Linked DNA regions of Drosophila melanogaster. The protein of the gene in region 2 interacts with the protein of the main gene of each other region in a pairwise test. Each region holds a gene or a part of one and is shown on either strand. Other genes may lie near its edges. The genes, in order: CG43795 and sas.

Region 1 (4,835 bases), on a different chromosome or scaffold from region 2:
TTAAACAATCGGGCGTGTCAACTAGGCCCACTAAAGGATCAACTTTCCCCATTCGCCCATTTTAGTAGCCTTTTTAATTGGTGTGCCTGCTTTTGGCTCATTCAATTATATTGATTGCCGTGGGGTGGGGGAGTTTTGCGAAATGAGCTGTGAACACAGTTGTCCTTAGTTAATTGGTTGCATGTCAACTGGCCAACTCAAATACTCAGGTATTTGACTGAAAGTTTGTGCGAAAAAACTACAGCGACCAAAAGTATGCAGCCAAGTTGCAGATACGCGAACTGATTTCTTCTTCCTTTTTTTTTAGCAAATGGCATCCTTCGAGCATCCTTATGCTCCGTACATAATTAATAACTTTCCACGGTAAATCCGATTTAAGCCGATTTGCTAGGCTTTCAGCAGACATAAGTTTGATGCTCACACATTCTGAAGTTCAGTCCCTAAAGTTTGTCAAAATAAGGGCTTATGCGCCCAGAATACTTTAGCCATCCCCATTCTTATCCTATATTTTTGTTTTTGATAATTATACTCGGTACTCGGCAGATTAAAAGGGTATATTCGACTAGTTGGAATGTATGTCACAGGTAGAATACCTCTAGGAGAGTTGATGTGACCATGTCTATCCGTTTGTCCATATGAACATCGAGTAGCAGAGTACAGGGTATCAAATAGTCGAGACTCTCGAATGCGACATCATCTCTTGATTTTAATTACATTTACGAGGCTTGTGTAAATGGTCAAATGAATTAAGGTCTTAGTCAAAATAATAATTAAATGGAACACACATCCACAGACTGCACAAATACACTGCGGAAACGGCTACGCTGCCAAATTGGAAAGCCCACTTTAAAAATGTAGTCTTGATTTAATTACACTTTGGCCGCATGTAGCTGTTTTCAATGTACACAAGTGAATAAATGCAAACATGCCACCTACGTAATTAAATTTCCGAAAGGAGGATTAAGTAGATGTCTCTCGCACATTATGCAAACCCACTCACCGATTGACCAATGCGGATAAATTGGGAAACCACAGGAGGCCCTTAGGTAGTGAAAATCAGATCTGTTTAAGCGAATCTCAATGAAATTCGAGCCCAAACACGTGTAGCAGCTTTCAAGCCGTACTTGCAGCTTTCTACGGCTTTACTTCATAGCCACTTTGCTGTTTGCCCCAAATCCGTTCTGGCGAAGTCCGCGCCTGGGATATCTGTTGAATTTTTAGAAAAGCCTTTAAAAAAAAGGACTTCGCAAAGTAAACGCCGAATAAGTGGAAGGCAAAACAGCTGCCAACGAAGAACGTTGGGCGTTAGTATTTGCCGCTTTTTCATTCATTCGCAGCTTTTTCTGTATTGTGCTGCCTTTTGTTGACAAGGCAACACTCGGAGAAAGTGGAATATAAATTATATACTTCACTTATTCATCTAACGCAACAAAGGTATCACTTTGAATCAGAATAAAAAGGAAAATGATAATATTTTAGATACATAATCAGGCCCTGTACAACATTATACCATTGCCATTTTGAGGACGCAATAAAACCATTATGTGAACTTGGAAGACAATAGTTTTCCCTTTAGCAAGTAGCATGTACGAAAAACTTAAATTTCCATTATTTGCCCATTCCTAATGCACTCGAAAAGTTGTCCACCCCGTGTTCAGAACTCTTTGCCTGCACATTTCTCCGACTGTATGCAAATAAGTAACTGAAACTGACAGTGACACCACAGCGTCCTCCCATCCTGCCATCCTTCGCAGCATGGGTCAATGGCGAACTGCAGGCATCAGCAGGAGGCTGGGCAAATTTGCATTCATAAAGCAGAAGCGCCCAGTTGGCCCATTTGTATGCAAAGTAAAGTATTACTGGGCGGATGAGTTGGGGTAAGTGAAAGTAAACACTGGCTAAGAGCGTGCAGGTAAATGCCCAAATTAAAACAATGACTCGGAACAGAAGCTCGGGATTTGGAAGATGGCAATTAACGTGAATGAAGCGCATAATAAGTCGCTTGGATCGCTTGGATTCTGGCACTCGCACTTTGCCAAGGAAATGTGCTGACATCAAAGAAGTATAATTTCTTCATTTGGCTAAATGGCGCCCAGTTAATTGGAACGCCGAATTTTCGAACCAAACAAAGGAGTTTAATTAATTGGCCGAAAATAAAGGTCGGCCGAACATAAAGTTCCGAGTAAAAGTCGGAGCGGCAAGACAGTTTTACACCTGGACGGGCATACGCACACACGGCGTATGAGTGATTTCGATGTGCCTTTCACCCGAATTTCTCCACATGGACATGAAACATCCTGGCCTCAGCCTAATTAATTGACTTGCAGATGGGCCTCTAGGTGTGCACGGGTATTTGCATTCTGAAAATAATCTCCCAGCGGAAGATAATGAAATTTATTATTTACTTTCGCTTGGGCAACATTCCTGCGCGGCCTTCGAATCCGCTGTCAGCAGGCTTCATCTCACCGAGTGGCGGCACTACATTTTTATGCTTTTGTTAACTCATTTATAAGCCGTACTTTTTGCTGGCTCCAGCCCATGCTTCCACAACGCATGTACGGGTGTTTAAGTTCTCAGCTGCCCCATGAATGCACACAGATGCAGGCGCATCGAATGCGATTTGCGTAAGCTGTTGTCCGAACAATGGCATTACGTATACGCCCCATGGACAGGCATTTGGCTCAACAACTCGCACAGGAGCAGTCAGAGGATCAGCCCAAAGGCACAGATAACCAATTGGTTTTCACATTTTCCATTTGGTTCGGAGTGGGGCACACTGTTTTTTGGTTAAGCCACAGTTGCCGTTGACTTTGATGTTGATGTACATACATGATGAGGCTTACATTAATGTGAATGAAGTGAACTTGATTTGTGAATGTCTGTTCGATTTTCCTTGTGCTTACATACCTTTAAAAGGTTACTCCGCGTTAAGTTTTTGCTTAGCTTAGTTTTAATTGATTGGTTTTCAACTCTCACTGTATTTTTGGTCACAAAACTATCGCTGCCATTGTCGAGGCAGACTTGTCTTAAACTATTCGGATCACTTCACCAAACACGCGATCTTGGCTCGCTAGAATCGAAATAGTTCTTAAAGTTCCTCCTGGGACCCCACGATGGATGCACAACCACGCCGCGACGCGCTTCAGAGCGAACTGCCAGCCGCCGTGCGACGTCGGAACTCCAGCCTTAAAGTCGGCTTCGTTCGCTCGCGAACTCACCACGCCCCGAAACGAACGGTAAATCCGAGCGCTGGCAATCCGAGGCGTCGATTGTGGGTCTGTGGACCAGCAGCTGAGCGCCGGAGAAAGTGAAAGCCGTTCCCATCGGCACCGGCCACTGTGGAGATTGAGGCAGGTTAGTGCCCGCTCTCACTCGCTCTCTCTTTCGTGCGAGAACCTTCCAGCGATGTTTCTGATTAGACTGGAAGCGGCGGCTTCGCCTCTGATAAGCCAGACTTTGGCAGCGCAAAGTAAACTGTTGCATGTAACTCCGCTCCGATTTTTTACACTTTTAGTTAAACAAAGGAATATATTTCAGATATGTACTTGTGACAAACTAGTTGAGACAAGTTACCAATCGAGACTCTCAAGTTTAATCATTATGTTTACGGCTTAATTTAATTTCAATTTCCATCTAGACAGGAAGATTATTTATCGAAAAACATTACTATTAGTATTTTCTCACAAGTATTAATTTTAAGAGTCTTAAGAATCCGAAAGGAATTCCAATCGCGTAGTATGGAAATTTGTCGTAAATTGTGAGAGCTTTGATTCTATGCCTCCAGGAGCAATCTTACAATAGATTTCACTTCTATTGAGAACCTATCACAATTCTATGTTTTTGACCCCGCATCCTGGACATGCGCGCAGTGGTAATGGAGCCCCCTGCACAGCTGTTCGGCATGTCCGGCATTCCAGTGTGGTGAGTTGCTGGTCGGCAGACCGTGCTGATAAGAATCACTGATAAGAACGCACTGCGGACGCAGCTGCATCCGCCCAAGAGCAACACGTACCGCCTCTTTCATAAATGGGGTGCAATTGCATAAGACTTTCATCATTGCAATTTGCGGTTCCCAGCGGATGGAGGGTGGGTAGGGTAGGGGCGAGGCGAAAAGGTTGCCGCAAAATGCGCAACGCTGCAGACGCAATTAATGCGCACCGTTTTACAATTAGCGACCTGGCCCAATTATGCAGCTGCCACCCCCTGCACCCCTGTACCCCCCTTTACACCCATTACCCCCAGCGACCCATGCAGAAAACCTCCGTCGTGAATCTTGCTCGTTGTTTTTTTTTTGTCACTGGGAACGGCTGTTAATAGGAAATTCATGGCCGCCGTGTCCGGTCGCCGGGCTCCACAGCATTTTTCCCTCGACGAGCACGTGAATTGGGTTGGGTTTTTGGCCTTTCGGCTTTTGGGCGACTGGGGCTGTCTTTTAATTATGATAATTACATTGTTGTCGTTCTAATTTGCTGACAGCAGCTGGAACGCGATCTCTGGCGTCGGACAAGAATGCTCCCCTAAATGCTCCCCTTTTCATGGCAAGCTAATGTTGAATGCACGTTGCACGTGGAAACCAAATGGGGCTTCTGGTTTCCGAGAGGATGTGCGAACTGGTACACTTGGTTGCTGCAACTTGAATTTGTCGAGAAATTTAAGCAGCAAATTGAAGTCATTGCGAAATTTGGAAATTTTATATCGAAATGTCACAACTAATTTAATACATTAAAAAAAACATGTGTTGTTGATTATAGATTCCTTTTAATGGTTCATTTCCAAAATGTACTAAATAAATAATATGTTTATATTGCTGTTGCTGCCAAAATCAGAATATGCAT
Region 2 (4,907 bases):
ATGACAGTTGGCTGCTTTGCATTTAAATTGAGTAATTTGTGAAGGCTTACCTTACCACCATCCCAATGTTTGCTGTTAAATCTCATTAACTTCCCGTGGCATTTAGACCGGCTAAAAAAGGCCAGTCCCTTTTAAACAATGCATTCCCACTTGCCATGGCAACAACCTATGCTCAATCGATCTAGACCTGTGTGTGGCCTGCTAGACCTCGTTTTATCGAGTCATCAATGAATCTAGATGGAATAGTATCAAAACAATGAAAAACCAATTGAAGTTTTTACGACGGAGTGCTTGCCTCGTGAAGAGTTTGGTGTGCAACTGACATTAAGCCCAAACAACCTTCTAGATAATTATAAATCTGTTACAGCCAAGAACTCGGCAATGGAATTGCCCGATTAATCTATTTTGCAAAAGGTACGTGTGTGAAAGTTAATCATTCCATCTCAGGTGATCTGGTTAAACGAATTTCTCCAGTTATCCTAATAACCTAAATGTGAATGTGTTCATTCAACAGAATTACAAAAAAAAAAAAAAAAATCTAATCTGATTTATTATTTTTTATTTTATATTAAGTATCAATTGTATCGAAATAGAAGTATAATTCAATTTATCTTGAGTATCTTGGGTGTAGTACGAGTAGAATATATTAAGATTTAATTAAGTTCATTCACTTGTTCTAGCACGAATAATAATTTCTCGTATAATTGGTTTCCGAGATTGAGCTTGAGGGCCGGAAATTTTAATATTTTCCCTTTAATATGCCGCGTAATTAACTAAGTAATTCAACAGGAAACCGCTTATGTATATCTTCAAATATTCTTCCATCCATTAATAGTCAAACAATTTCTCTTGTTCGCTCCATTTAACCGAATCGGAAAATAATTATGGAGAAATGCCGTACAAATCGAAACGAAATGGGTAAAAAAAAGGGCGGACCAGAAGTCACGCACCGGCACGGCGTTAATTGGTGGCTCAGAGAACGAGATTTGATTACGGCGCAGAGAGCACAGCGCGGCTAGGCGGGATTAAAGTGTCTGGCCGGAGATCGGGATGAGATGCCCCAGCTATGCGAGCGTCGTCGCGTAGATGCCGTCTATCTATAATTTTCATGGCTTTCGGCTTGGACTCACCAGTTTCGGTCGCATTGGATTTGTTGGCCGCCTCAGTTGTTGTCGTCGTGGAAGTCGTTGAACCATCCGCCGCCTCGGTGGTTATGCTGCTGATGCTGCTGCTTTGTTCTGCGGCAGTTGTGGCTGGAGTGGTGGTGGCTGCAACGGCGTCTGGGGCATCTGTTGTGGTATCCAAAGGTGGCATCGTTGTGGCCGCTGCGTCTTCGCCTGCGGGCGCAGACGCCGCACGCTCAATTTGAATGCCAAGCAAAAGTAATCCGCAGAGAGTGGCCAGGCACATTCTACTCCACTTGATCGTGGATTGGCCGCCGGAGGCTTTTCTTCTTCTACACGTTTGCATTTTGGTTTATGTTTGTGCTCCGTCTTTTTGGCTTTTCCTCTTTGATTTTTCTCACACGTTTGCACTTGTTATTGTTAATTTATAGTAATCTGCTATAAATATGGAATTAAATAAATTACATGCACTTTTAAACGTTTCGAAGGGTCTCGATAACTCATTACCTACTTTTGTTCACTAGTTATTATTTAGTTTTCTCTTTTGGGGTGCGGGATTTTCTTATGCGGTTATTTTAGTTCACACGACATCTGTGGCAGCGGTTTCTGTTATTTGTCATTGACTCGCTTTGGTAACCCCAAATGCTGTCATTTCCGTTGAAAGTCGGTTGAATAACGATCTCTCAAGTGTCAACTCAAGTCTATATTTTGCCAGCCGATTTGTTGAGTGATTTGTTAGGTCGCCCTACGCGGAAATTGGAAAGTTGTTAGCTTGAAAATAGGGGTGGCTTACTCTTGACTCAATCAATCAAAAATAATATGTGAGTTAATTAAGCTACGAAATAAAAGTATTAGCTAATTTTTCCAAATACGCCGCATATCTAAAGCATTTCCTATGTCACACATTTATGTAATGACCAATTTAAGTGTGAAAGCGTAAACATCTTCGATGCCACTCACGCAAGTTCGTTTCCCAAGTCTTTTGTTTTATAAAGTTTCGCATAGTTTTGAATGTGTCCGAATTTTTGAAAACCTATGTAGATTTACGATACGTAAACCCTATTTAGCATATTTCATTTAGATTTACAACTTCTGTACCTAAGCCTAGAGCAGCTCATAAATATCTTTCATTTTTTTAAGACTACGCCGCCAGCACAATGTTTACTTCTCACCATTCAAATCAGAAACTAGGCAAATAAACCAGCTTGCCAAAAACAAAGGCTGCCAATTGGGCTCTAAAAAAAGATATACTGTTTATATGCAAGGCAGTCGATGCTCATGCAACTCGCTACAATGCAACGCCAGCAACAAAAAACCCTAGACCCAAATTGCGATAGCAAAATATTTCAACCGGTTCCAACGGCAGCAGCAGAAACTGCAACTGAAAACGGCTGCAGACCGCAGAATTTGCTGCACGCCTTTTTGGCCATATTGGTACGAAGGCAATTAGACAGCGTGCGGTTCTATTTATTCCATATCTGCTGGCAATTGTTAATATTTCTTTTGGCTAACATCTAGTGATGTCATTGTAAAAGTTGATAGCTATTTGCACTGACATTTCGCATTTCACATTTCACTCTCACTCCTTTTTTGTAGAAATGGCAAATGGCAGAAAGCAAACAGCGAACAAGCGATTCGGAGCTGGAGGGAGAAAACGTGTTTTCGGTATTTCCAATGGAATGTTTTCGGTCGTGGTTCTCTTTTCTTCTGCTGGGCCGTTTATTTCACTACCAGATCTTGTGTTTGTTTAATAAGAAAGCAAAGATTTGCATAAATCACAACCGCACACACACGCAGGCACGCTTAAAACGAAGATTAGCACCAACCCGGCGAGAAATAGGTATAGGTATTGGTATATATCTCCTCTTATCTGGCCACGTTTGTGGGCAGCGCGGTTTATATGTATATATAAATCGTTCGCAAAGTAATGCGATCGCACTCGGCCAACCGCTCCGTCTCAAGCACGACCACCAACTGATCTCTCCGGCGGCACGGATCTTGGCTGGTAGCGTTGCCAACTCACCACGGTCTGCATCTGCAGGCTGCCAACATGTAACTGGTTTGCTGTTGCTCTCCGGCCAACTCTTAGTTGGCTCTCATCTGGCTGGCTCCTTCTCGCGCGTCAGCTGAGCGCAACAGGTGAGACCGTGCACGTAATACATAATACCCATTACCATTACCCCGTGGTTGAATGCTCGCTCTCACCCACACTCAGGTGTGTCTAGGCTGTTGCTGTCTGCCAGTGTGGGTGTAGTGAGCGAAAGGCCCTCTCTAGAAGTCGTTGGATTCGAAACAAGACGACCATGATGCATACACAAGACTCAAAGACGGAGTTTTTTTTTTTCAATTTGGCAAGGCAACTGCAATAGTCGATTCCTTGACAAGTGAACTCAGCGCGATCTATTTGGACTGTCCAATTGGATGGCGAAAAACTCAATCCCATTGAAAAACCCAGGCCAAGCCGAGTTGGCATTCATCGTTCCGATTACGCCTACCTTCGGTTTCTTTCTTCCTCGACTTCTTTGTCTGACTTTTTGAAAGAGCACAAGCGTAGATTCGTATTAGCGGCCCTGCATCTCCATACTCGTAGATCCAGAGTGTTCATGAGTCAGGGATGCTTGGGGTCACAGCGGCACTAAGAGATTAATCCCATTTACAGCTTTCGTAAATATGATTAAATAAAGAAATTCTATGCTACTTCGAAAGAGTGAAATGATAAGTGATAAGGTGATACCTTATCACCCCTATTGTAGGGTACATTGAACACTCGTGAGTGATAAAAATGATTAGTATAAGGATAGCATTAGTACTATATTATATTATATTATGTGAAATAATTACTATAATCCCTAAATGTTTGGTGTTCTAATAATATTTAACCAATTACTTTGGGATAAGTAAAACTAGAGATAAGATAAGTACGCCGACGCTATTAAAACCCAAAAACTAGTCGAGGTCAAATCGGTTTCTATAGAGGAAAGTACGATATATGTATATATAACTACATAAAAGTTATTTTTACTGCGATACCCGAAATATTAAATAAAACTAGAAAGATTCATGAAATTCCAATATCTATTAGCAAACCCAAATAACCGCCATTCCGAAGGCCTTATCTGCGGAGCTGCTCCCAAATTCATAAATCCACCGATCACTGACTGATCCACCGCCATCAAATGCCATCGATGCAAATATCAATTCTCCACTTGGGATGCGAGACGCGCCCAGAAACCGTCATCACACATCAATGGCAGCAAGTTGGCCAACCGTCATTAAAAAGGAAATGTGTGTCTGAAGAACTCAAATCTAATCAAATCAAATCATATCCAACTCAACTCTCAACTCTCTGCTCGCAGACGTCAAAAAGTATCAAATGTGCACACAGTTTCTATGTTATTGGGGCTGCTCTTGTGGTTGCATACATTAACGTGCAAACATCAGAGAATAATGCAGAAATGCGCTTTTTTTGGTGTTGCACAAACACGGCCAAAGTTGCATTGTCTCCCTTTGTTTATACATACATATATTTTGTCTGGGGCTTATCGCACCGTCATTGAGAAGCCGCTAATGCTAATGCTAATAAAATACAGGCGAACATAAAAAGATAATAATAATAACAATGCAACTTCAGTTTATGCTCACAGTTTTTGAATGGAGCATTTCTCAATGTATGCAAAGGAAAAGAACGCTGCAAGAAAACGGAAACTACAAGTAGTGTCTTTTGCATAAAATGCACAACATATGAATACTAAAGCATTAGGAATTAAGAATTAAAAATTAAGA

The links.
Region 1: the proteins of sas (region 2) and CG43795 interact in a two-hybrid assay, tested with the Drosophila melanogaster proteins (one large-scale study listed by BioGRID).

The regions. Positions count from the first base shown.
Region 1 is NT_033778.4:23,442,456-23,447,290, reverse strand, and holds the start of CG43795 (uncharacterized protein), read right to left. Parts: upstream 3,155-4,835; 5' UTR 2,908-3,154; intron 1-2,907.
Region 2 is NT_033777.3:7,161,084-7,165,990, reverse strand, and holds the start of sas (stranded at second), read right to left. Parts: upstream 3,184-4,907; 5' UTR 2,951-3,183; intron 1,870-2,950; 5' UTR 1,632-1,869; intron 1,563-1,631; 5' UTR 1,471-1,562; coding exon 1,131-1,470; intron 1-1,130.